Ovis aries: one gene and its partners. The protein of the gene in region 2 purifies or fractionates together with the protein of the main gene of each other region. This does not show direct contact. Links are inferred from orthologs where the notes say so. Each region holds a gene or a part of one and is shown on either strand. Other genes may lie near its edges.

Region 1 (3,948 bases), on a different chromosome or scaffold from region 2:
TTTTCTCTTAGTATGGGATTTTAAGGAATGGTCCCATGAATAAATGTATTCTTGAATGGCACTTGCCTTATCATTATTTTTTTGCCTATAAAAATCTCTACACTAGATCTCAGTCCAGAAAACAATGATGTCATAATTTCCAAGCACATATCTGACAGTTCTGTGTAGAATTCAACCACTGAGTTTTCTGGATGAAGATTAAAAGTACTTCTTTATGATTAGTTGAATGATGAATTAGTTCAGTCATAATCAACTTAGGGATCCTTCTAGTAAGAAGGATGATTTTTTCCCTTGGGTTTGTTTCAGAGTCTGTCTCTATACTTAAGATGTTAAATTTTCATTTGTTTTGCAGTTTACTTAGATGCTAATGTTTCAGTATTGATTTGCTAATCTGCAAAAGCAGTTATTTCTAGATCTGCCTAGGTTCTTAAATTTTTAGCATTTTGGTTTTGTTATTCCAAACAGTTGTATAGTAGAGGCCCTTAAAAATTGAATATGCTTTTATTGGAACAGTGCCATCTGCTGCTGCATATATGACTTTGGCTTCTGTAACAGTTCAGCTCCTGGGTCTTCACTAGTGATCCAGTGGTTAAGGCTCTGTGCTTCCACTGCAGGGGTGAGGGTTCAGGGAACTAAGATACCTCATAGTTTGTAGCATAGACAAAAAAAGAGAACTAACTTCTGTCAGAGAAAAGCTCAGGAACTGTTAGTGAAGCAAATGAAGATAACTGATGGGAGTAAAAAGCTTAGAGCGTAGAATGTGAAAGAATGTAGCTGCAGAATGGTAAACTCAGGTCTCCGTCCAAGTGTGGGCTGTTCTGAGTTGCAAGACTCAAGGTTGAAAGGACTGTAGACACAAATCCATAGCTTTCACTAGTGATAAAACTTTGATTCATTCTTTGGTGTGTTTAATCTGAAATCTGCAGTTGAGAATGGCATTTCTTATTAATATGATCTATGATAATCACACACGTACACACACACACACACACACACACGCACACACACCCACACCCCACCCCACCCCCCTGCCTTGATTCAGAATTCTTTGCTGTTCCCTAAAAACTGGAGGCTTGAATATGAGAACTTCTCATTGTCATCTTCTCTGCATAGTCATGTCATGCCAAGTATAACTAGCTTGGGAACTTGGCATTTTTAGCGTCATTGTTGATAGCGTTTGAGAGGGTGTCACTGCTTGAAGACGGACAGACCCAAGGCAGACTCTGCTTTGAGAGGGCCCATTAATACCCCTGAGTTTGATTGAACTATCCACTTCCTTTTCCCCAATCTGCCAATGGTACACTGATGTGATGTCCTTGCTGACTTGCTGGAATCATAGGCTACTTGAAAATGTAGATAGGACATTAATGTTATTTTAACAGCATCCTTCAGGCATGTTGCTTTTTGTCGTGAACAACATCTTGAGAAACCAGAGTACAAATTGTTTTGCATATGAGAGCAGTGATTCTCAGTGATACTATGCTTTTACTATCATTGGGAAACTTCAGTTATTACTATCTGGCATATTTAGTGATTATAAGATTAAGCCAGATTCTACACAAGACCGGTCAGGATCTTTGGCACTGGGAGTTGAGCATTTGTATGCGTTTATGTGAATGCATGTGCACAAGTGTACCCGTAGGCACATTTGTAAACTGTCCCCATTGAGTGAAATGTGGAGGTGGAATTGAAGCCCTGTGCTAATAGGTATTACCTGAAGCAAGGCTTTAGTCATTGATGCAGTGATGTCATCCTGTTGTGAAACACACAGAAAGTGTGCTACAATTAAATTAGCTGATACAGGGTAGAGATTGGGGAAGAAAAGAAGAAGATGCCTTTTTTTGAGCAAGTAGGCTTGAGCTAGGTTTTGATGCATTTATAAGCGACATAAGAGTGGCGTAGTAGGTGGCATGAGCACAGAGTTAGGAGCAGTGGTAAGTAATGTTATCACAGCTGTTTTAATAGAAGCAGATTCTGTGTTTGAAGTGGAGTAATTGCCCACAGCCTGAAGTTTTTTGCTCACATTGGAGAATTTGGATATCTTTAAAAACAGCTGGGACAGATAGTCCATGGCTTTGGAAATTGATACCAGAAATAATTGATTCAGCTTTCTAGATCAGGCCTCTTGATGGAATGTAGATCATTTCTATTTTTAACATTTATGGTGGTTGTGGATTTATATTTTGACTTAATCTTTTCAGTAATTTAATGATATTGATAAGTAAAAATGCACTTGACCTGCCACTTTTAGGTTGGCTGGTCATTTGCTCTGGAAGTCTATTTGGTGTACTTGGTCATCAGAACATCTTGAAATAAACACAGCAGTGTTCAGGGCATCTGCTCAGTACACACACATATCCTTGTAATTTAGTGTCTGATTCTGGAATACAAACCGTTAAGTACTGTGATGTGCCTTTAACCTTACAGGATGATCTGATGGCTCATCTCTCTGTGACTAACCCTAGTAAAAACTTTGCCAAGTTAAAGATGATTACCGTTCCACACTTAAGAAAATATTGTATTTTTTTTTCAACCTTGTCTTTGTCATTTATTAATGATATTTCTCTCTACTTAAAAAAAAAGTAATGTGTTTCTAAGCTTAAATGATACCACTTTTTGAATAAAAATAAATTTCTTAAAATCTAGGAAACAAAATCTAGGGAAATTCCTCTTCCCTCAAAGCTCTCGTATCAGAAGCAGGAAGGATTGTTAGGTTTATTTAATCAGATCTTGTTACTTGGTAATATTTTGGTGTAGTATTTATTCAGATGAGTCTTACTAATTCAGAATGTTCTAGGCTATAATTTTTAAAATCCTTGTGAAAATACAATGGCATGTAGAAATTCTGTATTGCTGAGGATTTTTGTTTTTCTTTCCCTTTAAAGTCATCAGTCCTTGGTTCAGGATTTGGAGAGCTTGCCCCTTCAAAAATGACGAACATCACCAGCTCCCAGATTTTGGACCAGTTGAAAGCTCCGAGTTTGGGCCAGTTTACCACCACCTCAAGTTCACAGCAAAATAGTATGAGTTCTCCCACAACCACTTCTTCTTGGGACCTCAAGCCTCCAGCCTCCCAGTCCTCAGTCCTTAGTCATTTTGGTAAGTGTGCATTTTCTACGGTGGTTTGCCCCTAGTGAGGACATGCCAAATACTGGCAGAGTAGGTTGACTTTTCGACACTAATGTGGATTTGACCAGGCATATTTCTTTCTTTCTTTTTAATTAATTTTTTTATTGAAGGATAATTGCTTTACAGAATTTTGTTATTTTCTGTCAAACCTCAACATGAATCAGCCATAGGTATACAAATATCCCCTCCGTCTTGAACCTTCCTCCAATCTGCTACCCCATCCCACCCCTCTAGATTGATACAGAGCACCTGTTTGAGTTTCCTGAGCCATACAGCAAATTCCCATTGGCTATCTGTTTTACATATGGTAATGTAAGTTTCCATGTTACTCTTTCCATACATCTCACCCTCTCCTTCCCTCTTGCCATGTCCATAAGTCTATTCTCTTTGTCTGTTTCTCCATTGCTGCCCTGAAAATAAATTCTTCAGTACCATTTTCCTAGATTCCGTATATATGTTAGAATATGATATTTATCTTTCTTTTTCTGACTCATTTCACTCTGTATAGATTCTAGGTTCATCCACCTCAACAGAACCGACTCATATATGTTCCTTTTTATGGCTGAGTAATACTCCATTGTGTATATGTACCACAACTACTTTATCAATTCATCTGTCAATGGATATCTAGGTTGCTTCTATTTCCTAGCTATTGTAAATAGTGCTGCAATGAACAGTGGGATACATGTGTCTTTTTCAGTTTTGGTTTCCTCAGGGTATATGCCTAGGAGTGGGATTGCTGGGTCATATGGTAGTTTTATTCCTAGTTTTTTAAGGAATCTCTAAGTCTTCCATAGTGGCTGTATCCATTTATGTTCT
Region 2 (4,436 bases):
AAAGAGCTTTCTTTTTTTCCATCAATTTTTTTTCTTTTAAATTTCTTTTAAACCATTTATTCTTTCACTCACAAAGTATTTATTGAGTACTTAACATTTGTCAGCGACTATTCTAAGCACTTGAAATACATCAGTGAGCAAAAGGAAGCCCTCACCTCCGCAGTGGGGCACACTTGGGGGGGGTTGCTGAGATGAGGAAGGAAAACAGCCGCCCGAAAGAGCTGAGGAGCGGTGGGGGTGAGGCGGGGGCGGGGCTTGCTCTTCGTACTAGAGTGGTCGGGGTCCTTAGAGAACTTGAGCAAAGGCCTGAAGGTAGGGAGTGAGCTTATCCAGACATGCACAGCAAGGCTAGTGCAGGCAGCAGGCGACGAGAGTCCTCTGAGGCCTCTTCTGAAGGCCTTGGCTTTTACTCATTTCACAAGTGAGCCGCTGAAGGTTTCTGAGGAGTCATTTGCTGTGCCTTATTCTGGATCACTGCAGCTGCTGAGCTGAGCACAGACAGTGGTGCAAACAGCACCAGACCAGATGGGAGGGCAAGGCTGGGATGCTGGCCCAGTGGGGAGTGAAGACGGGCCTGGGTATTCTCTGGAGTTGGAGTCCACTGAGTCTGAGGTGTGAGAGAGTCTAGCACATTCACAAAACGTCTAGGATTCCACGTTTGTCATGATACAATAAAACGTCTAATGAGGCCAGATGACCCCCTACAGCAGTTGTGAATTAGTATTTAAGAGTTCAGAGGAACTGGGATCTAGCCTTAGGGGCCTCATCTCTGTTCAAGTACCTCGACTTTGATCTCAGATTAAAGGTTGGGCTCCAGCCTTGAACTGTTATTATCCCCTTCCCGGTGCCCTGTGCATCCCCTCCGTGTACTGCTGGGCAGAACGCCTAGTGTGCTCTGGCCCCGCCACCCCTCTACTACTCCCTGACCTGCACGGTGGCCGAGCGGCCTCCATGGTCTTCTCATAACAGGAGGTTTATACAAATGGGGTTAGAAACGGCCTTAAATAACAATCATTTCACTCGAATTCCAACCAATAACTTAAACAGAGAAGTCATTACAAATGCTTTCATGCGAGTGGGTGTGAAAACGATGAGGTTCACCTTGACCCCTACACGCAGCTGGACAGGGCGGCTTTTTGTCTTCTGCTCTGTTGGCGTCCAGACTCCAGTTCTCACCTCGGGAAGGTGCCCGGGAACCACGGCTACGCAAAGGACCCCTTCCTCGCGGCGGATGGCCCCGGAGCGGGGAGAGGGCGGGGCTGGTGCGAGCCCGCCCCGGGGCGTGATCGGGGGCGGGGCGCCGCGGGCCAGCCTGGGTGAGGGCGTGGCTCACGCGAGCCCCGCCCCGGCTATGCTTGGGGGCGGGGCCTCCGTGGGGCGGGGCGAGGGCGTGGTTGGCGCGGGCCTCGCCCCGGGGCGTGCTCGGGGCGGGGCCGGGCCTGGCGCCACGCGGAGCCGCCCCGCCGCGCCGCCCCCGAGGCAGCTCGCGCGGTCGGAGTCCGGCCGCCAAGCCCTCGCGCCCTTATCTGGGTGCCCTGGCCCCCGACTTCGGGTTTGCGGGCAGCGCATCCGAGTAGACGGTTGGCGCGTGGGGACGGCGGTGACCTCGGGCCGCCCGCCCGGCGCAGATGGCTCAGGCGAGGATCAGCGCCAAGGCCAACGAGGGCCGCTTCTGTCGCTCCTCGTCCATGGCCGATCGCTCCAGCCGCCTGCTCGAGAGCCTGGACCAGCTGGAGCTCAGGTGCGCGGGGCGGGGGCCGCGCGGGGACGGAGCTGCGGGCGAGGACCGGGGGGCGAGGGCGGAGCGGAGGGCAGCGCGGCGCTGGGTCGGCGCGGCGGCCCCCCACCCTTCGGCGGCCCCGAGCGCCGGGACCGCGCGACCCCGAACAGAGGAGGTAGGGGGGACGTGACTCGAGACGACGGCCGTGCCGCCGCGGAGCTTCCAGAACCTTCCGCGGGGGGCCAGGTGTTTCCGGCCCACTCCCCGCCGCGAGCGGTTTTAGGACCGGGGCCGGTTAGTGGTTTCTGTGCTGAGCGACCGAGCCCTTTGCAAAACGGAAAAATCCGTCTGGCCTCAGGCCCGAGAGCAGCGGACAGGTGTCTCCCCAAGCCGCGCTCGGCCTCACCGGGGCGCCGTCCCACCTTCCCGGCCGCCAGGGCCCGAGCCGCAGCGCTCCCTCCCGGTCGGGGTGTCCCTGCGGTCGGCGTGTCCCCTCCCGGTCGGGGTGTCCACGGCGGTCAGCGCGCAGAGGGAAGCCCTGGCGGCGAGGGTCGGGCTGAGGTCAGCGAGGATGTGACTTTGGAGCAGGGCCCGGGGTCAGGCGCGCAGAGGTTACCACCGGTCAGGAGGAGCTGCTGTCTCCCTTAAAGCTTTTAGTGCTTTTCTGAATTTGAGAAGATTTAGGAATCTGAGTTCCTGAAAACCGGAGAGCCTGTTTTGCCAGTTTTCCCAGAGCACAGAGTGCCTCACCCCGGCTCTTTCCCTGAATTCTTTCCAGGCTGTGCTGCTGTCAGTTTCTATAGAAACCGGTGTGGGGACCCTGCTTAGTGACAAATGTAGTCACCGGCTTGTATAGGATTCCTAAATAATGTGTAAGAAATTTGGGAAATAATCTTTTCTCTAACAGTGAATGAAGACTTCTGTGTACTTCCCATAACTTCTTATTGTCATTGAAGGTCCGGTAAATTGTGTGCAGGTGTAATTACAGGCAGATCTTACCAAGGCGTCCAAAACTCCCTAAAACCACAGGTAATTTTTCCCATAGTTACCAGACTCTGAGTGAGCAAAGGAATACATGTAAGACACAATTTTAAGAAGGGCTGCATATGTGTCTTTATCTCAAAACAGGACAAGGGGTCTGTTTGCCAGTAAAGTACATTAATAACCAAATGAGGCACTTATTATCATTTATTAATATTTATGTTGACTTTCATCATTTATTGTATAGTTCTTTTTATTATTACAGAAAGAAACAATGTCTTCTCAGAAAATGAGACGCTCACCACCACGATTTCACGGAGAGTGACAATGGTCCTTCTCCAGCTGAAGCAGGTGGAACAGGCAGAGCAGTTCCTGTGGACGATTTTATGTAGCAGCGTTAACAAGTGACTGAGCGTCTCTGGTCTCAAGAACTTTGAGGGCATGTTCTCAGCCATTTCAGGGGGGCTCTTCCCTAGTTGGAAAGAAAGGATGTTTTCTTCTCAGCTCGGGCAGGACACAGTTCCTTTCTTGAAGCTGAGTTATTGTTCTAAGACTTGAATTGATGCCTCACATAGGGCAGGTGCTCATCTTTAAAAGGAAGTTTCTTGTTTGAAATATTACGTTCTAGGGCTTCCTTAATGTGAAATGAATTCTGATTACCGTGTACAAGTGGTTAATCACTTGCTGAATTAACCCTTGAGCTGAGACTGATAAATGTGTGTTCAGTTGTTCATTTTAAGGACTTTTCTAGTTTTAGACTGATGAGCTTTGTTTCTTTCTTTTAAAAAAAAGTGATGCTGACAAAATTAAGTCTTTTGGAAGGTTAAGTAAAAAATAGAGAAGTTTATGAAGGCAGATGGGTCATGGAAGAGAGCACTGAGCTGTTAGAAACTAGAATCAGGCCCAGAAGATCAAGTTTAAAAAGAAAACAAGACATTCATGTGTTAACTGTCATTTACTTTCATGTTACGAGTGGCTAATAAAGCAGTGTTGCAGGCACACTGAAAATCACAGACTGTACCAGGAGGTCTGTGTTTACTGTCCCTCTGTTGTGCTAGTCTCAGCAAAAACTTTCTCCGCATGAAATCGAAAATAGAATTATGCTCAGTGCTTCATGACCTGCCATGTGAACTGGTGTCCATGGTGTTTAAAGTTTTTCAAATGTTTGACCGCATCTCACAAATCGCTGAAGAAACTCCAGTTGTTTCTAATGCGTTAGCACGAAACTAGATCTCCTTTTTTGCTTCCTCCTAAAAAGGTGATGTCTCTCTCTACGGGTTTTCGTGACCGTGCAAATGGCCTCTGACTTTTCCATTTGTCAGTGGCTCTGAGCACTTTGCTCACGATTGTTACTAGTTTAGCAGTGATCATATAATTCATAAATGATACCCTCCAACAGGTATCTTAGCTAACCAGCATGACTACAGGTCCTGTGTCTTTGTGGAAATTATGTCACCCTCATTGTCCAGGCGGGAAATTGAGGCTTGAGAAGTTAAAAGAGCTCAGGAGTGGCTGCAGAGCTTAATGCTTTACGCCTGAGTTTTCTGAGTTACTATGTCATATTTCAAAGTGTAGGAATAGTATATGATTTTACTGAAAGAAGTGAAAATTCCACTTAGATCCGGGTTTAGATCAGGGGCTGTTGAATGCCATCTCTGCAGGGTGTGAGTGGCCCTGAAGCTCCGGCTGGTGGTGAAGATGCTTGGCCACGAGGTGTGGAGAGCAGCCCAGGGGA
Region 3 (3,948 bases), on a different chromosome or scaffold from region 2:
TCAGTCTTTCCCAGCATCAGGGTCTTTTCCAATGAGTCAGCTCTTTGCATCAGGTGGCCAAAGGATTGGAGTTTCAGCTTCAACATCAGTCTTTCTAATGAATACGCAGGACTGATCTCCTTTAGGATGGACTGGTTGGATCTCCCTGCAGTCCTAGGGACTCTCAAGAGTCTTCTCCAACACAGCAGTTCAAAAGCATCAATTCTTCAGTGCTCAGTTTTCTTTATAGTCCTCACATCCATACATGACCTCTGAAAAAACCATAAAAATGGTTACTTGATATTAAATCAAAGGATGGAAAATAAAGTATGTTTCTGAAACTTACACTTTTTAAGTATTTAAAAATAATACCTTTCACTTTGATTCTTAAATTGTTTGGATGATGGTAGCCAGTTACTTTGATAAAAATGCACTCAGTGCAACTACCACATGGGAAAACAACTAAACCTGTGTGCAGGTTTTGTGTGGGTATGTTTTAAACTCCTTTAGGTGAATACAAAGGAATGTAATCACTGGAGCATATGGTAAGAGTTTGCTGAGTTTTGTAAGAAACTGCCAAACTGTATTCCTAAAGTGGCTCTACCATTGTGCATTCCAACCAGAAGTGAATGAGAGTTCCTGTTTCTCCACATCCTTATCAGCATTTGGTGGTGTCAGTATTTCAGATTTGGCCATTCTAACACTAATGTTGTGGTATCTTGTTTTAATTAGCATTTTCCTGATGTTATATGATGTAAAGCATCATACAGGACTTTGGATCATTCTTTTTCCTTGTTCTTTCCACTTTAATTTTGTATTGGGGTATAGCCAGTTAACAAAATTGTAATTGTTTCAAGTGAACAGCAAAGGATTCAGCCATACGTATACATGTATCCATTCTCCCCCAAACCCTCCTCCCACCCAGGCTGCAGGATCATTTTTTTATTGGGTTATTCTTTTTATTGTTGAATTTTAAGATTTCTTAGTATATTTTGGGTAATGGTCCTTTATCAGATATGTCTTTTTTAAATATTTATTCCCAACTTGTGGCTTGTCTTTTTATTCTCTTGATGAAGTTTCTTGAATAAGTAAAACTGTAGAGAAGCAGATAAATGGTTGCCTGAGGCTAGGGAGTTTTTTGCAAATGGGCACAAGGAAACTTTTTGGGGTGCTGGAAATGTATAAAAACTGAATTGTGGTAATGATTGTACAACTGTATAAATTTATGAAAAATTACCAGACTCTACATTTTAATTAAATGACTTTTGTGATTTGTAAGTTATCCCTCAGTAAAACTGTTAAAGATAATCTTAAAATTAAAAAACAGGAGGAAGATGTTAATGATCCATTCCTTTAGTAATTTGAATATGATATTAAACAGAAAAGTGAAGATAAAGTATTGGATGTCAGGTTCTCTCCTGCCACTTCTCTTTAGTACTTCCCTGGTACCCAGGGTGCCCCCCTGAGCAGGTTACCTTCTAAAGGACCTATGCTGCTTTCTAAATGAAAATCTCCCTAGATTATCAATCCTAAAACCTTTGTATTTTTAACTTTGCTTAGAGATTCCTTATTAGCAAGTTTGCTGGATGGAGTAAGAGCCTCTGGTAACCGAGATGTTTGTGTAAAAATGACATCAACTCATAAAGGTCAGCGATGGGGGTTACTCAGCATGCCTGTCGATGAGGAAGTAGAGAGCCTTCATCTCAGATTCTTAGCTACACCTCCAAGTAAGTATTGATTTAAATATAATTTCATTTCCATCCATCTACTTAACAATAAATAAACATAGTGCAGACCTCTAAATCGTTTTGAATCATTCATTTCCTTACAGATGGCAACTTTGCAGATGCTGTGTTCAGGTTCAACGCTAACATTTCATATAGTGGAGTTCTGCATGCAGTGACGCAGGATGTAAGACAAATTGTATCATAATTTGTTCATTGTCATTAATTTTTGGTATAGAAACTCTTTTGAAATACTCTTCCTCACCTAGGGTCTCTTCTCAGAAAACAAAGAAAAACTGATCAATAATGCCATAACGGCATTATTGTCCCAAGAAGGGGATGTTGTTGCTTCAAATGCAGAACTTGAGAGTCAATTCCAGGCTGTGAGGAGGCTTGTGGCTTCCAAAGCTGGTTTTCTAGCTTTTACTCAGCTTCCAAAGTAAGTTGCCTTAATTTTTTTTCTTTTAATAAGAATTTGAAAAAGTCAAAATAGCAAAACATCAACAAATTTACCTCTTTATATCTGATTAAACTTGTTACTTTTTAATATGGTGAGATAGTAGTTTCTATTCATGAGATATAGAAAAGCAAGATGAATGAATGGAAATGATATTGCTGACTCTTATGTATACATTGACCCATGATATTACTGACTCTTGTTTTAGTGAATTTGAATGGGATGTTCAAATTCAAGCCTTTTAGTTTTAATCAACCTTCAAGCCCCCCATCAAAGGAAAAAAAATTATGAAAACTGTTATGTTCTAGATATGGGATTCAGAATATTTAATTGCTGTAGTAATGTAGTAGAAACTTAAAATAACTTAGTATGTTATGTTTTTATAATAAAATAATAGAATGACGCTCTGGTGTTGCTACTTTACACTGTTGTTTTGTCCCATGAGGTTTCGGGAGCGTCTTGGAGTGAAGGTAGTAAAAGCACTCAAGAGGAGCAACAATGGAGTAATCCATGCAGCTGTGGATATGCTCTGTGCCCTCATGTGTGTAAGTACTGGTGTTTTTCTCAAGGAAGCTGATTCTAAGTGACTGATGGTTTAAATTTCCACAAACCTAGATTTTATTGTTTCAATTAAATTCGATGTTTTTATATTTCCTAACTTGCTCTTACAGCCATTTACTTATACAAATAAACATTTGTTTAGCATAGCCTATAAACTAGGCACTGTGCTGTTTACAAAAAGAAATACCATGATGTTAAGACAGAATTCCTCCCTGAAATTGCTGGCAGTCTAGTAAGGTAGGCATGTGTATATAACTATATACATAGTAGGGGCCATGGGATCCCTAAGAAGCAGCACTTGATTCTGGTTTTGTGATGAGAATATAAAAAGGTTCTAGGTTAGTCTTTATGGGATATATTACACTTGATCTGAATCTTAAGGGGCAGGTAGATAATTTCTAGTTGCGAGAAGACTTTCCTAAGGAAGAGTAATTCAGTTCAGTTCAGTTCAGTCGCTCAGTCATGTCCGAGTCTTTGCGACCCTATGAACCGCAGCACGCCAGGCCTCCCTGTCCATCACCAACTCCCGGAGTCCACCCACACCCATGTGATGCCATCCAATCATCTCATCCTCTGTTTGCCCCTTCTCCTCCTGCCCTCAATCTTTCCCAGCATCAAGGTCTTTTCCAATGAGTCAGCTCTTCGCATCAAGTGGCCAAAGTATTGGAGTTTCAGCTTCAACATCAGTCCCTCCAATGAACACCCAGGACTGATCTCCTTTAGGATGGACTGGTTGGATATCCTTGCAGTCCAAGGGACTCTCAAGAGTCTTCTGCAACACCACAGTTCAAAAGCATCAATTCTTCTGCACTCAGCTTTCTTTATAGTCCAACTCTCACATCCATACATGACCACTGGAAAAACCATAGCCTTGACTAGATGGACCTTTGTTGACAAAGTAATGTCTCTGCTTTTTAATATGCTCTCTAGGTTGGTCATAACTTTTCTTCCAAGGAGTAAGCGTCTTTAAATTTCATGGCTGCATTCACCATCTGCAGTGAGTCCAGAAAAATAAAGTCAGCCACTGTTTCTACTCTTTCCCCATCTGTTTGCCATGAAGTGATGGGTCCGGATGCCATGATCTTAGTTTTCTGACTGTTGAGCTTTAAGCCAACTTTTTCACTCTCCTCTTTCACTTTCATCAAGAGGCTCTTTAGTTCTTCTTCACTTTCTGCCATAAGGGTGGTGTCATCTGCATATCTGAGGTTATTGATATTTCTCCAGGCA
Region 4 (3,948 bases), on a different chromosome or scaffold from region 2:
ATGCTTATTTATATATATATATCTTACCCCCTGAGTTCTCTATCAGGGAAAGGAAAGAAAATTTTATGATATTAACAAGTGTGAGCTAGTTTTTTTTTTTTTTTTTTTCATTTTTTAAACTGTGACCACCAGCCCTGCCCTATATAGATTCCTACGCCACCCCCAAAAGCAGAAGATTAAAAGGAAGCCTTACCTGATGCTACTGTTATATTGGGTTGGCCATAAAGTTCATTCGGGTTTTTGTACGCTGTTGCCGAATGAATTTTTTGGCCAACCCAACAATATATGCTTTCTCCCTAAATGTCCCCCGAGGGCAGTGGTCTTCCTTCTGCATCTTGGGCAGCATATTTCCCTGCAGAGCAGTGCTGCTCACAGCCGTGTGGAGCTACTCCCATAACAGCAAGGAATAGCCTCCGTCACACGGACATTTGTGTGTCCTCTCTAACCCTGACCGTGACTCTTCCTTACCATGCTTTTCCCTGACTAAATGAAAACAATCCCTGGGTAGGAAACCTGTTTTTGGCTCTGGGGGGTTGTTCCTCACATGTTTTGTTTTGTTTTTTAATTAGTTGTTTTCTGAAAAATGGCAACTTCATGTAGGAGAGGTTCTAGAATGATTTACCTAGCTGCTGAAGCTAAGATTAGGATTTCTCTCCTAGTCTTTGCAAAACTAATAATATTTTGATGGGATGGTTTTTGTTTTTTTTTTTTAATTTAGATGAGTCTGCTTTTCTCTGATTGCCATTTTGTTCCTTCATTTTTTTCTCTTTTTTTAATGCGTGTATTCAACAGTCTTTGGTTCCAAGATATTGGTTCTAAGGCTTTTTTTTTTTCTTTCTGAGATTCAAAAGCAAAATGAAAGCAGTCTTCCTTATTGGGTAGCTTTCCTGGAGTACCTCTGAGCTGGAATGAGTCTAGGAGCTTGTGTTCTCTGTTTGTTTCCATGTGTTATGTTTTCGGCATCCCCCTCCGGCCACATCTCCCTTCCCACATTCAAATAACCCCTTGGTCTAGCTTTTGGCTGCTCCTCCCCCTCTCGCTGTCGCATCCTCACTTTGTCGGTGACTATAAACTGCCACCATGTACTGTTTCAGTTTTGAGCACCACGTGAAATCTTTCCACATGTGACCGGTGTGCCCCTTTGGGGGCTGAGAACCCATAGATCACATGCACTTCTCCTCTGTGAAATGAAACCTCTGGTGCTTCTTTCTTTGCCACCTAATTCCTGTGTTTAAGTTTTGACCCAAAGCACTTGCTACAGCAAAGCAGCTTGACACCTCTGTCTCATAGTCTGAATAACACATGGTGTCATTTTTATGTGATGTCTTAGGGTCCCAAGGGGTGATGAGTAACAAACCCTACAATGCTGAAGGGGAAAAAGAAACACAAACCCATTGGGCCCAGGGGAAGCTGGCCTGACTCGGGTGCAGAAAGAGGCAGAGACGTTCCATTTGTCTGGGAAGCATCATGTGCACTGCTGTTTGATAGAAAGCATTAATTAGAGCAGTCATCTGGTAGAGCATTACGGCGCTGGCCCACATGGAGCCAGAATAAAGCCCCGTTTGGTGTGTTGTAGGAAAAACGGATCGTGTCGCTGGATTCGGCCAACACCAGACTGATGAGCGCGCTGACCCAGGTGAAGGAACGGTACAGCATGCAGGTCCGAAATGGCATCTCCCCCACCAACCCCACCAAGCTTTCCATCACGGAGAATGGTGAATTCAAAAACAGCAGCTGCTGACGGACGGGCCTCACAAATAGACAGACTGTGGGAGGAGACAGAAGGAAACGTCCCCACTCTCCTGTCCCCAGCCCTCTCCCCAGCCCCACCAGGTTTACAGAATGCCTCTGCTTCAGAACAGCAGGCTGGCGAGCAAGTCTGGACCGAAGAAAGGAACCTTGTCTTTCAGGGCATAAGGCTAAGACTTCCAAGGTCGATGCTTCCCCCACCCCCACCCCATGTCTCTATGTACATAGGGAACTTAGTTCTGGGCCATGTACAGAAAATACCACTGTAATATACCCAAAGGAAGTTAATAATGTAGATTACCTTTTTAACTATTGCTATTTTTATTATTGTTGTCCTCTTGTTGAAAGCACTGCAGTTGTTAGAGGAGGAAATGTAGGAACTATGTACGTGAATGAGAGATGAGCCCAGCCGCTCAGTAGGTAGAGACCACGCATCTGTCTGATAGAGCACACGGACCGCGACAGGACATGGTCAGAATGAATTTTTCAGGGATTCATCTGCCAGGTTAAAAGCCCCGCTCTGGTTCCCTTGTCCTGTAGGAAAACATGCAAATTACCAAGATCCAAATGAAACAGTTCATCCCACTGATCAAGCGGGACTGGTTCTGCATGGACAGCTGATCTGACTTGGGACACACTGTTCCAGAGGACACAGATAAGAGCTGTTGCATCGAAACCGGACTCTAGGAGGGGTTTCTGTTGAACTCCTGTTGATGTTCATTTCCTTCTGTCTGTAAGCAGATGGAAATTTTTCCACTTTAGGTAGGGGGCTTTTTTTTTTTTTTAACCCCAGTTGTAATAAAAGGTGTTCTTTCTCCTCTTTAGAGTTTACAAAACTATAAATATCTGTGTCTCTAGAAACCATCTTCATCTTCACATACCCACTTGCCCTTTCCTCCCCTTTGGTGGGAGCAGTCATCACCAACAGGGTTTACTCTCCCCTGGAGAGGTTATTCAAATCTACTGTCCATAAGCCATCCGAAAGAAACACCCTTTCTTCTGTACAGAAAAGGGCTAACCATATCATACCATAGCAGGAAGCTCTGAATAGTTCCTATTAAAAATTTTTATTCTATTTGTAAGTTACAACTTTGGTTTGGGATAAAGATTTTATCCAGTGTACTAGCAGGTCTCGGGGCAGGGTAATTTTATCTCAGTCTTTCACTTTTAAATTGCTTCTTCTTTTAAATTTGGACAAGAAATCCAAATCGGAAGCATTGCTCTCTTAAAAGTCATGATTACTCTTAATGAAAAATAAAATACTGAAAGTGGGAGGACAGCGTATTCCAGCTGTTATTCCCATGCTCTTTGTAGATTTGGCAATAATAACCCAGTTTCACTAGTCGTCATCCATGGCTTTATTGTAGGACAGAACAGTTATGGAACTTCATTTACTTCCTTTTTTTTTTTTTTCCAGAGGTGTGAAACGTCATCTTAAATGCAACCTTGATTATCAGAAGTATGAAATGTTACAAGTTAGACAGATAGTATATAGACAAGTATATATACACATATATTCACACATACGTACATATAACTGCACAAATAGGAAAAGTTCCTGCCTTCTATGCTGTCGGATTTAATGTTACAAGGAGTTAGAATCTCATTAAGCAAGATCTAAGCAATTGCTTGTATTGAGAAAGCAACCACATTTCTCAAATAAGTTAATGATGTTTATTTTAAATGATAAACCTTAGGGAATTATTTTTTAAGGGAGAGGAGGGAGGGGGAAAAAAAAACACCCCAGGAAGCCATATGCATGGAGTAAGTGTTTCCACATAACGGAATACTTAGAACTACAAAGGGGACAAGAGAACATTTATCAGGTCCCCTTCTGGGTGATGCCCCAACAGAGTCACCAAGCTTCCCTTTCCACTGTACTGCAGACTTGCATTCTGACCTCTTAAACACTGCTCTCCAGTAGATCTTTGTGTTTGACCTTGTATCTCAACAACCTCACATGGCCCCCGACTCACAGTCTTTTGAAATATGTCCCCTCCGTAACATTCCCATTTCTGCCTGTCGAAGATCTAAAACAGGAGCTGCCTGGTGTGCTTATCTGATCTGCAGACATCATCCCACGTGTTTTAGCGCTTGTGTATTTTCTTGACCCCTGGTCATGATTTTATAAATTCTTATCCCCTTTCCCTCCAAGTTGAGGGCACACTGTGGCCAAAATCACTAATTAGAATAGGAAAA
Region 5 (4,620 bases), on a different chromosome or scaffold from region 2:
TTCGCCTGTGTTGGCATGCAGTTGGCATGCAAGTGTGCTAAGTCAGTCGTGTCCAACTCTTTGAGACCCTATGGACTGTAGCTCACCAGGCTCCTCTGTCCACGAGATTCTCCAGGCAAGAATACTGGAATGGGTTGCCACACCCTCCTCCGGGGGATCTTCCTGACTTAGGGACCGAACCTGAGGCAGTTTCTTTACCAGTAGCGCCACCTGGGAAGCCCATGCCGTTGGCAGACAGAGAGAAAAGACAGAGCTTTGAGACAGCATACATAGTTTTTAACTTGGATTGGGCCTGGACAAGGCACACATCGTCCTGCCCATAGCCCATTGTCACATACTTAGTTGCAAGGGGTGCTGGAATATGTAGTCTGGGCTGCTTTTCTCTGAAACAACTCTACACACGGAAGAGGAACGTCTTTGGTGAATAGCTGGTGTTATTTCAGTTCACAAAGACTTGAAATTATTGAACCTTTGTAAAACGGCTAAGCATACCACGCGGTGTATACTATGGTTATGAGAAGGGCAATGGTCTTCCTCTGTTTACAAGGAACCATGAGCAAAATGAAGTACTTACATTTCAGACCAAACATATTTGTTCAACAGAGGAAAGGATTATGGTGGGAGAGAGTTTGTCATGGTAGGAACTATTGAAGCAGAGGCTGAATTTTCCCTATGATGAAGGCTCCAGAAGGAGTCAGATAAGATGCCTCCTACTAGTCCTGATAACTTTGAGCTTCTCTGCTAGGCTCCAGGGGGCTTCCTGGGTGGTGCAGTGGTAAAGAATGTGCCTGCCAATGCAGGAGGGGCAAGAGATGCAGGTTTGATCCCTAGGTAGGGAAGATGGCAACCCATTCCAGTATTCTTACCTGGAAAAATCCCAGGGACAGAAGAGTCTGGTGGGCTATATAGTCCGTGGGGTTGCAAAGAGCTGGACATGACTGAGCATGTACGCAACACACTAGGCCCCAGAGTCACCTCCGAGCACTTATTTTGTGTCAAGTTCCAAGTGGCGTTTGGGGGACCCAGAAACAAAGGAGACGGGGTTCTGACTCTCAGGTTACTCACTGTCATGAGTTGAAATAGGACATCTGGGAAGCAGGACAGTGGAGTGGCCTGAGCTCCAGAAACACAAGGCTGGCATTTAACTCCTAGCTGTGTGACACTGCAGAAACCACTTGACCTCTCTGGTTCTCAGTTTCTTCATTTATAACATAGGGACAATAGTTATCTTCATAGATTCTGAGGGCTCAGAGACAGTTACTTTAGCGCATTTGTAGCACAGCACCTGGTAGGTAGTGAGCACTTCTTTTTATCAGTAGCAGTGTTTTTATGATGTCACTTCACTTTTTCAGCCTTCGATTTCTCATCTGTAGAATGAAATTAACCAACTTCCATCAGGGATTGGAGTCTCGCTGGGCTGTGGGGTCTGGGGTCTGCCGTTTCTTCTTGCATCGTACTCATTATGTCAGGACGAGAAGATTATGGACCACAACCGGCATCGTCCTGGGACACAGCAGGAACCTGAGCGAACCAGGACGCGATTTCCTGGCTGCGCTCCCAGGAAGGACGTTTGTGCTGGGTCCCATCCCCCGGCCAGTCCGGCTCAGGAAACGCGGAGAGAAAGCCAGGAACCAGGCCTGCCGGCCCCGCGGCCCCTCCGCGCCTCCCCCACTCGGCTGCCCCCGACTGCAGGAAGCCGGCCGGCGGGAACGCCCTGCCCAGCGGGTGGGAACGGCCTCGCCGGCTTCCCAGGCCCGCGGCGGCGCGGAGCTGTCACTGCGGCAGGCGCGCCGCCTCCCCCGCCGCTCGCGCTCCCGCTGCAGCCGGTCCATCAGGATCGCAGGCAAGCGCCGCAGACCCGGTCCCGGGCGCCCGAGCCGAGTGCCCTGGGTCCCGCGGACGCCAGCGCCCACCTGGCACGGAGCCCACGCCGCGGGGGGCCAGACTGGGGAGGGAGAGGTGGCCGAACCTCTCTTTGCGGAGGTGAGACGCTGAGGCCCGAGGGTTTGTAGGTGAGTGGTCCAAGGTCATGGCTAGTAAACTATAGGGCCGGAATTCGATCCATGGGCTGCTTGACTCTAAAGTTTGTGTCTTGAGTCTGTGGACCGGTTCGTGAGGGGCTCGGGAGGGTCCAGGTTGTATGGAGGCCCGAGAACAGGAGGCCTGATTCTGGGGGTAATTGACGACCTCCTAGAGGTCTGTGAACGCCTGGATTTTGTGCAAAGCCTGTTGTAGGTTGCATTTCCCCCGCCTCAGTTTCAAAGTGTCAGTGACTCCAAAACGGTCTTAGCTTTCCAAGGCGCAGGGGTTGATGCTGGCTTTTTTAGGGCCTGAGCCACCTCTATAGTCTATAGCATTTAAGAATGTCTCTGCAGGGGAGGGGCTTGGGATCCTTACAGGTTCCCAGGATCTTTCTCCTGGATCTTGAGAATCTTTTTATGGAGTTCCGGGGTCTGTCTCTGAATGTGAGGTCCTGGTGTCTTGTCTGAGGTTCTGAGAATCTCACTGTAAGGTTCCCGTGGTGTGAGTTCTAAACCTGGGCCTCATGATCCCTATGAACCCCTTGAAACTGCAGGCAAGATTCTGTGGGTCTGTCTGTGTCCATGTAGTTCCTAGGAGAGGTTTCATGGATTTCACCAGATTCTCAAAGAGTGCTCTGACCCCTCAATCTGGGGAAAATATTGCTTTGGAGCATCCTACGTTAGACAGGCCTTGCTCCCTCTCCCTAGTAAGAGTCAGGAAAAAATAGGAGAGAGGAGATAAAAGGTGGTGTTGTCTAGTAGAGGAATATGTGTTTGGGAGTGAGGCCTTCTGGGTTAAAATCCCAGCTTTACCACTTAGCAGCTGTGTGACCTTGAGCAAATTTCTTAACCTCTCTGAGCCTCAAGGCCACCTCCTGTAGGAAACCTTCCCTGTGTCCAGAATTCAATTAGGTCCCCACTCCACATTCCCCAAGCTCTCATTGCACCTGGCCTGATACTCTGGGGGATTTAATGCAGTTGTTATGAAGTAATTGATTGTGCTTAATATTTTCTTGTCCCTCCACCCACCAGTCTTTTTTGTTTGTTTTGGTTTTTGAAACTTTTTTTTTTTTTGAGCACTGCTTTAAAAAAAAAAACCACAAAAACTTTTTATTTACTTATTTGGCTGCCCTGGGTCTTAGTTGCCGTATGGGAGATGTCTGTTGGATCACGCAGGATCTTTCATTGTGGCTCGTGAATTCTCTAGCTGTGGTCCATGGGCCTCTGTAGTGGTGGCATGGGCCTAGTTGTTCTGTAGCATGTGAGAGTTTCGTTCCCAGACCAGGGATTGAACCTGCAGCCCCTGCACTGCAAGGCGGATTCTTAACCACTTCACCACCAGGGAAGTCTCTTCATCAGTCTTAAGGTCCAAGAAGGCAGGGACCTTTGCTGTCTTACACGTTAGGCTCTCAACCATTTGTTATGAAATAAAGAAAAGAATGAAGGAACCGAGGAAACACCAGACCCTGTCCTGGAGGCAGAAAGGGATCAGAAATGAATAAGCATTGTTCCCCTCCTTGAGAAGGTCCCAGGCTAGTGGGGGGACTAATACACGTTTATGTGAGGAAGACTGTCCTAAATGTGTTAATGGGGAGTAAAACATTCGTGGGGATACACACAAACAGGAATGTGCCAAGCAGAATCATTCCCAGAAGAGCTGATGTAACAACTTCTCTTTGTGATACAACTTCAGTTCAGTTCAGTTCAGTCGCTCCGTCATGTCCAACTCTTTGCGACATGAATCGCAGCACGCCAGGCCTCCCTGTCCATCACCAACTCCCAGAGTTCACCCAAAGCCATGTCCATCGAGTCAGTGATGCCATCCAGCCATCTCATCCTCTGTCATCCCCTTCTTCTCCTGCCCTCAATCTTTCCCAGCATCAGGGTCTTTTCCAGTGAGTCAGCTCTTCGCATTAGGTGGCCAAAGTAGTGGAGTTTCAGCCTCAATGTCAGTCCTTACAATGAACACCCAGGACTGATCTCCTTTAGAATGGACTGGTTAGATCTCCTTGCAGTCCAAGAGAAGCTCAAGAGTCTTCTCCAACACCACAGTTCAAAAGCATCAATTCTTTGGCCCTCAGCTTTCTTTATAGTCCAACTCTCACATCCATACATGACCACTGGAAAAACCATAGCCTTGACTAGACAGACCTTGGTTGGCAAAGTAATGTCTCTGCTTTTGAATATGCTGTCTAGGTTGGTCATAACTTACCTTCCAAGGAGTAAGCATCTTTTAATTTCATGGCTGCAGTCACCATCTGCACTGATTTTGGAGCCCAGAAAAATAAAGTCAGCCACTCTTTCCATTGTTTCCCCATCTATCTGCCATGAAGTGATGATGGGACCAGATGCCATGATCTTAGTTTCCTGAATGTTGAGCTTTAAGCCAATTTTTTCACTCTCCTCTTTCACTTTCATCAAGAGGCTCTTTAATTCTTCTTCACTTTCTGCCATAAGGGTGGTGTCATCTGCATATCTGAGGTTATTGATATTTCTCCTGGCAATCTTGATTCCAGCTTGTGCTTCCTCCAGCCCAGCATTTCTCATGATGTACTCTGCATAGAAGTTAAATAAGCAGGGTGACAATATACGGCCTTGA
Region 6 (4,597 bases), on a different chromosome or scaffold from region 2:
CTCTAAGGGTGTTTTTCCTCTTCCCTGTGGTTAATTCTTTGAGGCAACCTGGCATTTTCAATAGCAACAACTAGAGAGAAACGTCAGCAGGATTTTTTTCTCTCTCCACCTACCAATCCAGTTGTAGGGAAGATAATATAATTAGTACCCTGTTCTTCCCACACTTAACCAGCTCATTCCAGTCTCAGGGAGAGAGGTGGGCCTGTTTTCCAACAAAGGAAGCTCGGGAGGCCGCCCTTCCAGAGCTGAAGTGTAAAGGTCCCAACTGAGAGTGACTAAGCCCGCGTCTATTAGTCAGAAAGACTAACGACCAGCCAAAAGTGATTTACCATAACACACGCCAGCTCCTCCTCCCGATAAAAGTGTGAAACTCAAGTGCTCAATTCAGTCTGGGCACAGCCTGTGGCTGCCAACGGTGGCAGAACGCGGCGAGACTGGCTGGCTCTGCACCCACATGTCGCCTTCGCGCCAGGCGGGTTTGCACCCACCTAACCCCATCCTGGGCGGTGTGGTGGGCTCGAGGTCGGCCCTGCCCACCCAGCGGGGCCGGGAATGGCTGAGATCTGCCGGGTCCGCGTGACCCGCAGGCCAGCCTGCCGCTCACCCCCAAGCGCGCGCGGACCCCACCGCCGCTCGTGCCCATGCCCCGCGCCACCTGGAGTCCAAGTTTGGCCCCGTGAACGGGGCCTGGAGGCCTAGAGTCGCCGGCGGGGGGGCGGAGCCTGCGCGGTGACGCGGCCTCTTTGGCCGCTGACCCCGGATCCCTGGAATGTGCATTCGTTCAATGGAGCCGCCAGTGCCAGCGGCGCCGAGTCACGTCTGCGCGGAGCGTGCGCACTCGGCGGCGGCGGCGCACGCGGCCCGCGGCCCCGCGCCCACGTCACGCGGCTGCCGCGCGAACCTGCGCCAGGTGGCCGGGACCCCCGCGCTGTAGCGAGGGCCGGCCGGGAGGGAGCGCGGGGTGCATTGCGCGGTGCTGCCGCTCCCTCCCGGAAGGGCTCCGAGAAGCGGCGGGTGGACTCGATCCTAGGCCTGAGAGCACGCCCTCTTTTAGTAAAACTTCAGGGGACCGGCGGCGCCTGTGTCCTCCCCAAGACCATGCGAGTGTAAAAGCGCTTGCCGAAGAGTTCAAATAAAGCTCCTTAAAAGATGTTTAAAAACGGACAGAACCAAGTTACAAAGTGGCCTTGCTTTTCAAAACACGAGTTTTACACGGTTTGCTCTAAACGGATCTGGAGGAGAGGGAACTCGGCTCGAGTGGTCGAGGCAGCGGAGCGGGTGCAGGGAAACAAGCTGCGCCAGCCACGCGTTCACGTCGGGGACACAGGGCGCGGCGCGGACGGGAGGGCGGGCACAGAGGAGCCGGCTCTCCCAGCAGCGCCCGTTCTGCGGCGGGGGGAGGGGGCGGGGGGGGGGGGGCGCGCGCGCGAGGGGAGGGGGCCCGCGCAGGCGCCTTGCGAGGCTGTCGAAGAATCAAGTCTGTAGAAGTGGAGCGGCCGCGGCGGCAGCAGCAGCAGCGACGGCGGCGGCGGAGCTGAGGCGGGCTGGGCGCTGACGCGGGCGCTGGAGAGCGGCGACGCCAGGAGCTGTGAGAGAGCAGCGGAGCGACCCGGGGTCCGCGCCGCGTCCGAGCTCCGCGCCGCCCGGCCGCCGCCGCCGCCGCCGCCGCCGCCCCGGCGCGGCATGCCCCGCCGCTCGGGCTGAGCCTGCCCCGGCGGCCGCCCCCCGCCCCCCGCCCCCCCAACCTCCCCGCCCCCCGCCCCGCACTCCGCGCCAGCTGCCGCCGCGACCTGCTGCGCTCCCCCGCGTCCGCGCGGCCCGTCTTCGCCCCGGTCTGGAGGCCAGCCGCGGCTCCAGCCGAGCCCCCGCCGCCGCCGCCGCGCCCGCCGCGCCGCGCCGCCCCGCCGCCCGCCCGAGCCCGCGCCGGCCGGGGGGACGTGCTGCCGCGGCTGCAGCCCCTCGCCCCGCGCCCGCCGCCCCTCGTGCATCGGGGGCGCTGCGCGGGCGCCGAGCCTTCGCGGGCTTTGCCGCCGCCGCCGCCGCCTCTGCGGCCGCCGCCGCCGCTGGTGGGGGAGACGCGGGGTTGGGGGGGGAGGAGGGCGCGCGTGGTGCCGGCGGGTAGCGGCGGCGCCCCCTCCTCCTCCGCCTCCTCCTCCTCCTCCTCCGGCGCCGCGGGCTCCTCGGACATGGCCGCGGCTGTGGCGGTGGCCGCCGCGTCTCGGCGGCAGTCGTGCTACCTGTGTGACCTGCCCCGCATGCCCTGGGCCATGATCTGGGACTTCACCGAGCCCGTGTGCCGCGGCTGCGTCAACTACGAGGGCGCCGACCGCGTCGAGTTCGTCATCGAGACGGCGCGGCAGCTCAAGCGGGCGCACGGCTGCTTCCCGGAGGGCCGCTCCCCGCCCGGCGCCGCGGCCCCGGCCGCCGCTAAGCCGCCGCCGCTCTCGGCCAAGGACCTTCTCCTGCAGCAGCAGCAGCAGCTCGGCCACGGCGGCCCTGAGGCCGCCCCGCGCGCTCCTCAGGCCTTGGAGCGCTACCCTCTGGCGGCCGCCGCAGCCGAGCGGCCCCCGCGCCTGGGCTCCGACTTCGGCGGCAGCCGCCCGGCCGCCGCCCTGGCCCAGCCGCCGACGCCGCAGCCGCCGCCTGTGAACGGCATCCTGGTGCCCAACGGTTTCTCCAAGCTGGAGGAGCCGCCGGAGCTGAACCGCCAGAGCCCGAACCCGCGGCGCGGCCACGCCGTGCCGCCCACCCTGGTGCCGCTCATGAACGGCTCGGCCACACCACTGCCCGCCGCGCTTGGCCTGGGCGGCCGTGCCGCCGCCTCGCTGGCCGCCGTGTCCGGGGCCGCGGCCGCCGGCCTGGGCTCGGCGCAGCCCGCCGAGATGGGCGCCCACAAGCGGCCGGCGTCCGTGTCGAGCAGCGCGGCCGCGGAGCACGAGCAGCGCGAGGCGGCGGCCAAGGAGAAGCAGCCGCCGGCGGCCTCGCACCGCGGCCCGGCCGACAGCTTGTCCACCGCGGCCGGGGCGGCCGAGCTGGGCAGCGAGGGCGCAGGCAAAGGCCGCGGGCCGGGCGAGCAGGACTGGGTCAACCGGCCCAAGACCGTGCGAGACACGCTGCTGGCGCTGCACCAGCACGGCCACTCGGCGCCCTTCGAGAGCAAGTTTAAGAAGGAGCCGGCCCTGACTGCAGGCAGGTTGTTGGGTTTCGAGGCCAACGGGGCCAACGGGTCTAAAGCAGGTAGGGGCGGCTGTGGAGTGAGGGGGTTTAGGGGCGAAGCGGGGCTTGAGAGCCGAGGAGGGGGTGCTCTTCCTATTGGCCGTTCTCCCCCGGCCCAGAAATAGCAAACATCCAACTTCCTGATCTGCTCGAGGCGGAACCAGTGCTTAGTGGCAACGTGTTCCTCTGCTGAAGCAGCATAACAGAGATGAGTCAGATGGACCGATAGGCAGCGACACAGGGCTTTCCTTTCCCAGCACATTCCTGGATGCGAGCATGAGGGCACCAGTCACCTTTTAACCTGAGGGTGGGTGGGGGGGGGGGGGGATTGGGGGGCGTTAACTCTCATGTGCACAGGGCAGCCTGGGTACTTGCAGGCCTGTGGAAGAACAGGCAGTGCTTTCCGTGCCTTTTTTTTTTTTTTTTTTTAACTGCTAGACTGCCTCAGAGCCTTCTCAGTCTAAGTGGTTTAAGTTGCACGTGCTCTTGAAACTTGGTTTTTCTGTACCAACTTTGGAGAATAGAAATTCTTCAGAGGGTTGTGTTGTGTGTTAGTGAAAGAAAGATCCTTTTTAGTGCACGTTCATTTATTCTTTTCCCCTTTTCTATCTTTGTTCTTCCAGTTGCAAGAACAGCAAGGAAAAGGAAGCCTTCTCCTGAGCCAGAAGGTGAAGTCGGGCCCCCTAAGATCAATGGAGAGGCCCAGCCGTGGCTGTCTACATCCACAGAAGGGCTCAAGATCCCCATCACTCCTGCATCCTCTTTTGTGTCGCCACCACCACCCACTGCCTCACCTCATTCCAACCGGACCACACCGCCTGAAGCGGCCCAGAACGGCCAGTCCCCCATGGCAGCCCTGATCTTGGTAGCAGACAATGCAGGGGGCAGTCATGCCTCGAAAGATGCCAACCAGGTGCACTCCACCACCAGACGGAACAGCAGCAGTCCACCCTCTCCGTCCTCTATGAACCAAAGAAGGCTGGGCCCCCGAGAGGTGGGGGGCCCAGGGGCAGGCGGCGCCGGAGGACTGGAGCCAGTGCACCCCGCCAGCCTCCCAGACTCCTCCCTGGCCGCCAGCGCCCCGCTGTGCTGCACCCTCTGCCATGAGCGGCTGGAGGACACCCACTTTGTGCAGTGCCCTTCTGTTCCTTCGCACAAGTTCTGCTTCCCCTGCTCCAGACAAAGCATCAAACAGCAGGGAGCTAGTGGAGAGGTCTATTGTCCCAGTGGGGAAAAATGCCCTCTTGTGGGCTCCAATGTCCCCTGGGCCTTCATGCAAGGGGAGATTGCAACCATCCTTGCTGGAGATGTGAAAGTGAAAAAGGAGAGAGACTCGTGACTTTCCGGTTTCAGAAAAACCCAATGATTAATCTTAACTAAA
Region 7 (4,666 bases), on a different chromosome or scaffold from region 2:
TCGCTGCCGGAATCTTCCAGGCCTGAAAACACACTCTCCTCGCTGTCACTAAGGCCAGGATCACTGCCAAGCCTGCTGCTGGGAGCCGGAGCGCCGAGGAGAGAGGGCTGCAAGAGGCATGGCACTGATGACCCCAAGCCCACCCACCAGGCAACCAAGCGCTGACCCACAGCCTGTGTGGCCAGCCTCCTCGGTCACGGCCCTCAGGCCACAAGCCTCCAGCTCCACCAAAACCACCCACCCAACCCAGGCCTCCCTCACCACCCACTTCCACCGCCAGCAGGCCTCCTGCCTTTGGAGGAGACATTCAGTTAGAGTCTCACAAGAGAAGGACTTTCCAAGGAGCTCAATTTCCATCACATCACTTGCACCAGCTCTCCACCCTTCACGCCCGAAAGCCACATCTGGCATTCACATCTCCAGAGCTACCAGGGCACTGGAGTGGGGTCTGGGACAGGCAGAGAGGACCACAACCTGAGGCGCTTTTCCAGCCTGAAGAGGACTCTATCCAACCAGATAGGGACTGACAATTTATCAGTAAATTGTAAAGACTGGTTGAAGAGACGTAAAAATGATGCAAACTTTACTTAAAAGCAAGTGTTCTGGTTCACCACCCCATGGGATAGGACTAGAGCTTCCTCTGAGCAGAGGTCTGCTGACCAGACACCACCCAATCCCTAAGTTCACAAGACCCATGCACTTAGAGAGGGGAAACAAGAACTTACAGACTTTCAGCAAGCACTTACTTGAATGGAGAACCCTAGATTTCTGCTTTTTAATAGCTACTAATTCTCTCAGCTAACAGGAAAGCCTGCACTCACCAATTAGCAGCATTCAACTGAACTTCCACAGAAATAACTCTGATACACACTACTTCAACGCTTAGTAAGCTACACAATTACAACAGCAAATAAAAATGGCACAAATGGCTTGGGCACAAACACATATGGCTGCTGAGCCTGGTGCCCAGAATGCCTGCTAGCAGGAGGGCAGCAGGATTGGTCAGGGTAAAGGGGCTGCCTGACAACCTAGCAACGTGGAGTGCTCCCTTAGGCAGGCGCGGCTGGACAATCTTTGGAGGGCTGATGACACCCCAAACCCAGCTGAGGTTCCGCTGCATGTCTGAATGGAATGGCTTTAGGTGCAGTTAAAAAAAGGATGCGGCCAATACAGCAGGCACGGCCTTCCTATTCTCGTGCCCTTTTACAACGTATCCGACGTATCAGTAACGTACTAACATGCTCAAACCTCTTTAATGCAGGAACCACAATCCAAAGGGCTAGGGAGGCCACGCGCACGATGCCAGCCCCTCTTGCTAGTTCGCTCCGGCCCACACTTCTCCAACCACACTACGGGAGCCCCCTGCCCAGGACGCCCCCACGAGGCCACCGCCAGCACAGAGCTGGTAAACCGCCTCCTCGCACTCCTGGGCCCTGCTCCCCGGCGCTGGCCGCCCCGGAGCCGCCATGTGCGGCCCAGCCGCGCCACCCCGTCCCGCTCGAGCAGCCCGTGGTCACCTCCTCCAGCTCCGGCTCCGGCTCCGGCGGCCGCTTCCCGGGCCGCGCCACTGTCGCCGCCGCCACTGCGCCACTCAGCGCGAAAGCCATGCTCCCTGACCGCCAGGACCCGCGCCGCCACTTCCGGCAGCTAACAGACCGCGTGGGCCCGGGGGCGGGGCCCGAAGGGTCAGAGGGCGAGAGGCGGGCCCAAATGGGCTGGGCCGGCGCGCACGCGCGCGCCGTGGGGACGCGGGCGGGCGGCGCCGGCGGGAGCGCGCCCGTCGCAAGATGGCGGCGGCCATGCCAGGCCCCGGGGCCGTGTGTGCGCAGCGGGCGGCGGCAGCGCGGCCCAGGCAGCAGGCGCGGCGGCTGCGCTAGCCCGTCCCTCGGCCTCTCTTTGCGGTTGCTACCTCCTCCTCTCCCGTCTCGCCCGGTATGGATCTGCCCGTGGGCCCGGGCGCGGCGGGGCCCAGCAACGTCCCGGCCTTCCTGACCAAGCTGTGGACTCTCGTGAGCGACCCGGACACGGACGCGCTCATCTGCTGGAGCCCGGTGAGGGGCTGGGCGCGCCGGCCTCGGGGCCTGTAGGGGCGGACAGCCGGGGGTTCGGGAGAGCGTCCGAGGCTTCCCCTCGGTGCGCGCTGCCCGGGTCTGGGCAGGAAGGGCCTCTTCTCCTCGGTCTCTCGCCGAGTAATTGTGAGACGACGGCGGAAGCGCGCCTGGCTTGAGGGCAGCGCCCAGTTTCGTAGCGAGTGTGGTGGCCAGGTGACCCCACAGCTTCTCAGATGAGTTACCAGGGTGGTGGGGTCGGCAGCTGTTGCGAGGAAATGAGGATTTGGCGCAGGTATTGGAGGGCGCTGCTCTACTGAAAAGGAAAGGGACCGAAAAACAAAGCAAAACGTCATAAAGTTGTGGTGGGTCTCGAACTCGTGTCCGGATACCACAGCTGGGTTCCCCCAGAGCCACTTTTTATTTCGTTCCTCTCGGGGCCTCTCTATCCACGCCCCTGCCTCCAGTTGCCTGGCAGCAGGCTCGTCTCCATGGTCTGACCCTGCAGGCCAGACAGCTACCCCGCTTGCAGAGGTAAAGCAGAGACTGTCTGGAGTTGCGGCTGAGAATCTGCGTCCGGGCTGTGACGTTGCGTCCGGGAAAGGCCCGAGCCATAGCTCGCGGCCCGCAGGTGTGCGGCCTGGGCTGCCCTGGTTTGCGGAACCTCTGGGTGCCTCCGGGCACACTTGCTCTCCTGAGGGCGCTGGCTCTCCCAGATTCTTCTAAGTACTTCTCTTTCACACTGTTAAGCCGTTAGAAAGGAGCAGCAGTCTGAGCTGAGGCGAGCCCAGAGCAGGAGGCCAGGTCCTCTGGTTCCTGGGTTATTTGCTGAAGCTCTGTCTCAAAGCTGGTAAAGAGAGTCAGAATCATACTGCGTCCTTGTAGGGAACACTTCGTGTTGGTCCCAGTGACACACCTGTGTGCCACGCTCCATCCCTATTGCCTGCTTCTGTAACTGCGCAGCGTTCCCCAAGAGGAGGCTGTACTTCCTTCCCCAAGCCTGTCCTGTTACTACCATCCCCTTGTTCAAGGCCCTAAGCTTTGCTGACCCAAGGAAATGACCCCAGGTTTCTGTCTTTATTCTTCATTTCTCTTCTTTTCCTGTCCCCTAAACTCCCAGGAAATACTCTTAGCCAGGTTGGGGAGGGGCATCGGAGATCCTTTGGGATAGTCTGAGCTTAATCTACTGGGATAATCGCCTCTTGATCTGCTTGATGTTTCTGCTTAAAGATTGTGAGGCAGCAGCCAAAGCCCTGCCAGCGAGCTCTCCAGGTCCCACTTCCTGTGTTCCCAGCAAGGCCTTAGAGCTGGAAACCAGGACGGATCAAGCCTGCCACAGCCTCACACACAGTGGCTGCACCACCCACCAGCCCTGCTGGAACTTAAACTGGAAGGAGTGGGAGCAGCCGGCTGGAGCCCGTGCATTTAACCTCCCTCCCCTCTGTCCTTAGGCCAACCAGGATGTGCTTGGCGCGGGGTGCAGCGGGCAGGGGGCTAGTGGTGCCAGGCAGGACAGAACCTGAGCACTGGTTCAGCTGTGGAAGGAAGCCCTTTTCCAGGCTGGGCAGGGGCTGTGGAGCTGCCTGGCCCTGAGAAAGAAGATGGCCCTCTCCCTGAGTCCTCTGCGATGCCCACACAAAGCCCCAGGCCTCTGGCAGAAAGTCTGCTGGGGGAGACTTCTGCGGTCTTGAAGCCCGGCGTTGGCTTCCAGAGGCCTTGGAATGTTCTGGCATCTGTTCTCTTGGTGCCTCCCTTCCAGCTGGAACTTTTCTCCCCATTCTGCCCCGAGGACCCTGTGTTTGCCCCCAGAGACAGGAAAAGGGGGCGGGGTGGGGGGTTTTCCAGCCCCAGCAGTGCTGTGCATCCTCCGCACAGTCTGAGGCCCTACCTGGAGAGTCATGTTGGTTTCCTTTCCCTCCCAGACCCCCGGTCAGTTACCATGCTTGGTGTGGGGCCACCACAGAATATGCCAGGGCTGCCCCTCAGACAGCCCTGTGGGACCGAAGGCCCCACAACCTTGGGAAGGAACCTGGTGAGCGTGGCAGCTGCATCCATGGGATGCTCCGTGAATCAGGCCTGTTTGGCTTCAAGACAGCATTAACAGTGGTAGGAGGGTGGGTGCATTGCTGAAGGAGGCTCTTCTTGTTAGGCTGTGGGCACCATGAGGCCCTAAGAGCAAGGGCCTCCTTTGCCTAGGAGCTGGGTGTCGCCAAACCAGGCCCCATCCCAGGTGGCCAGTGTGAGCGCCTGCAGTTAGAGGGTCGCTCTGGAGGCCCTGGCTGCAGAGCAGCCTGTAGTCAGGTTGCCAGCTCTCTGCGGGACTCCTCGAGGGCCCCAGTTGCACCTGACCACTCCGAGGTGGCTGAGGATTGTTCCTGGGGCTCCCACAACAGGCAGGCCGCTCCTCCTCCTAGCTGGGAGCCAGGTGGGCCCCAGCAGGCCCTCCGCCCTGCCCTCGGGGGTTGGCAGTGGCCAAGAAAGGCTGGAGGAGCACCCAGCACACAGCACAGGCTGCAAGGGGCACTGAAGCCTTGGAGGCCCCTGGTGCCCCCTGAGCTTGCCACCCAGGACCCGGCCAGCCCTTTCCGGCCCTCCACGTAGCAGGAGGCCCAGCCCCA

What was found.
Region 1: the proteins of BAG2 (region 2) and UBAP2 purify together in Homo sapiens (affinity purification with mass spectrometry; 3 studies listed by BioGRID and IntAct, with this or other methods). This does not show direct contact. The link is inferred for Ovis aries from reciprocal best matches to the Homo sapiens genes BAG2 and UBAP2.
Region 3: the proteins of BAG2 (region 2) and DNAJC13 purify together in Homo sapiens (affinity purification with mass spectrometry; 3 studies listed by BioGRID and IntAct, with this or other methods). This does not show direct contact. The link is inferred for Ovis aries from reciprocal best matches to the Homo sapiens genes BAG2 and DNAJC13.
Region 4: the proteins of BAG2 (region 2) and RASAL2 purify together in Homo sapiens (affinity purification with mass spectrometry; 3 studies listed by BioGRID and IntAct, with this or other methods). This does not show direct contact. The link is inferred for Ovis aries from reciprocal best matches to the Homo sapiens genes BAG2 and RASAL2.
Region 5: the proteins of BAG2 (region 2) and LUZP1 purify together in Homo sapiens (affinity purification with mass spectrometry; 3 studies listed by BioGRID and IntAct, with this or other methods). This does not show direct contact. The link is inferred for Ovis aries from reciprocal best matches to the Homo sapiens genes BAG2 and LUZP1.
Region 6: the proteins of BAG2 (region 2) and IRF2BP2 purify together in Homo sapiens (affinity purification with mass spectrometry; 3 studies listed by BioGRID and IntAct, with this or other methods). This does not show direct contact. The link is inferred for Ovis aries from reciprocal best matches to the Homo sapiens genes BAG2 and IRF2BP2.
Region 7: the proteins of BAG2 (region 2) and HSF1 purify together in Homo sapiens (affinity purification with mass spectrometry; 3 studies listed by BioGRID and IntAct, with this or other methods). This does not show direct contact. The link is inferred for Ovis aries from reciprocal best matches to the Homo sapiens genes BAG2 and HSF1.

What each region holds. Positions count from the first base shown.
Region 1 is NC_056055.1:37,555,240-37,559,187, forward strand, and holds part of UBAP2 (ubiquitin-associated protein 2), read left to right. Parts: intron 1-112; exon of another isoform or gene 113-193; intron 194-2,885; coding exon 2,886-3,099; intron 3,100-3,948. UniProt on the Homo sapiens protein: Recruits the ubiquitination machinery to RNA polymerase II for polyubiquitination, removal and degradation, when the transcription-coupled nucleotide excision repair (TC-NER) machinery fails to resolve DNA damage. May promote the degradation of ANXA2.
Region 2 is NC_056073.1:3,196,855-3,201,290, reverse strand, and holds the start of BAG2 (BAG family molecular chaperone regulator 2), read left to right. Parts: upstream 1-1,476; 5' UTR 1,477-1,628; coding exon 1,629-1,741; intron 1,742-1,743; exon of another isoform or gene 1,744-2,749; intron 2,750-2,966; exon of another isoform or gene 2,967-4,436. UniProt on the Homo sapiens protein: Co-chaperone for HSP70 and HSC70 chaperone proteins. Acts as a nucleotide-exchange factor (NEF) promoting the release of ADP from the HSP70 and HSC70 proteins thereby triggering client/substrate protein release.
Region 3 is NC_056054.1:257,879,052-257,882,999, reverse strand, and holds part of DNAJC13 (dnaJ homolog subfamily C member 13), read left to right. Parts: intron 1-1,539; coding exon 1,540-1,706; intron 1,707-1,810; coding exon 1,811-1,890; intron 1,891-1,972; coding exon 1,973-2,142; intron 2,143-2,605; coding exon 2,606-2,705; intron 2,706-3,948.
Region 4 is NC_056065.1:59,300,406-59,304,353, forward strand, and holds part of RASAL2 (ras GTPase-activating protein nGAP), read left to right. Parts: intron 1-1,576; coding exon 1,577-1,719; coding exon of another isoform or gene 1,720-1,741; 3' UTR 1,742-3,948. UniProt on the Homo sapiens protein: Inhibitory regulator of the Ras-cyclic AMP pathway.
Region 5 is NC_056055.1:243,407,039-243,411,658, forward strand, and holds the start of LUZP1 (leucine zipper protein 1), read left to right. Parts: upstream 1-1,720; 5' UTR 1,721-2,012; intron 2,013-4,620.
Region 6 is NC_056078.1:6,782,876-6,787,472, reverse strand, and holds the start of IRF2BP2 (interferon regulatory factor 2-binding protein 2), read left to right. Parts: upstream 1-1,481; 5' UTR 1,482-2,186; coding exon 2,187-3,237; intron 3,238-3,839; coding exon 3,840-4,555; 3' UTR 4,556-4,597. UniProt on the Homo sapiens protein: Acts as a transcriptional corepressor in a IRF2-dependent manner; this repression is not mediated by histone deacetylase activities. Represses the NFAT1-dependent transactivation of NFAT-responsive promoters.
Region 7 is NC_056062.1:13,586,144-13,590,809, reverse strand, and holds the start of HSF1 (heat shock factor protein 1), read left to right. Parts: upstream 1-1,767; 5' UTR 1,768-1,934; coding exon 1,935-2,051; intron 2,052-4,666. Other genes in the region: ribosome biogenesis protein BOP1, read right to left, coding at 1-107, 1,518-1,607. UniProt on the Homo sapiens protein: Functions as a stress-inducible and DNA-binding transcription factor that plays a central role in the transcriptional activation of the heat shock response (HSR), leading to the expression of a large class of molecular chaperones, heat shock proteins (HSPs), that protect cells from cellular insult damage.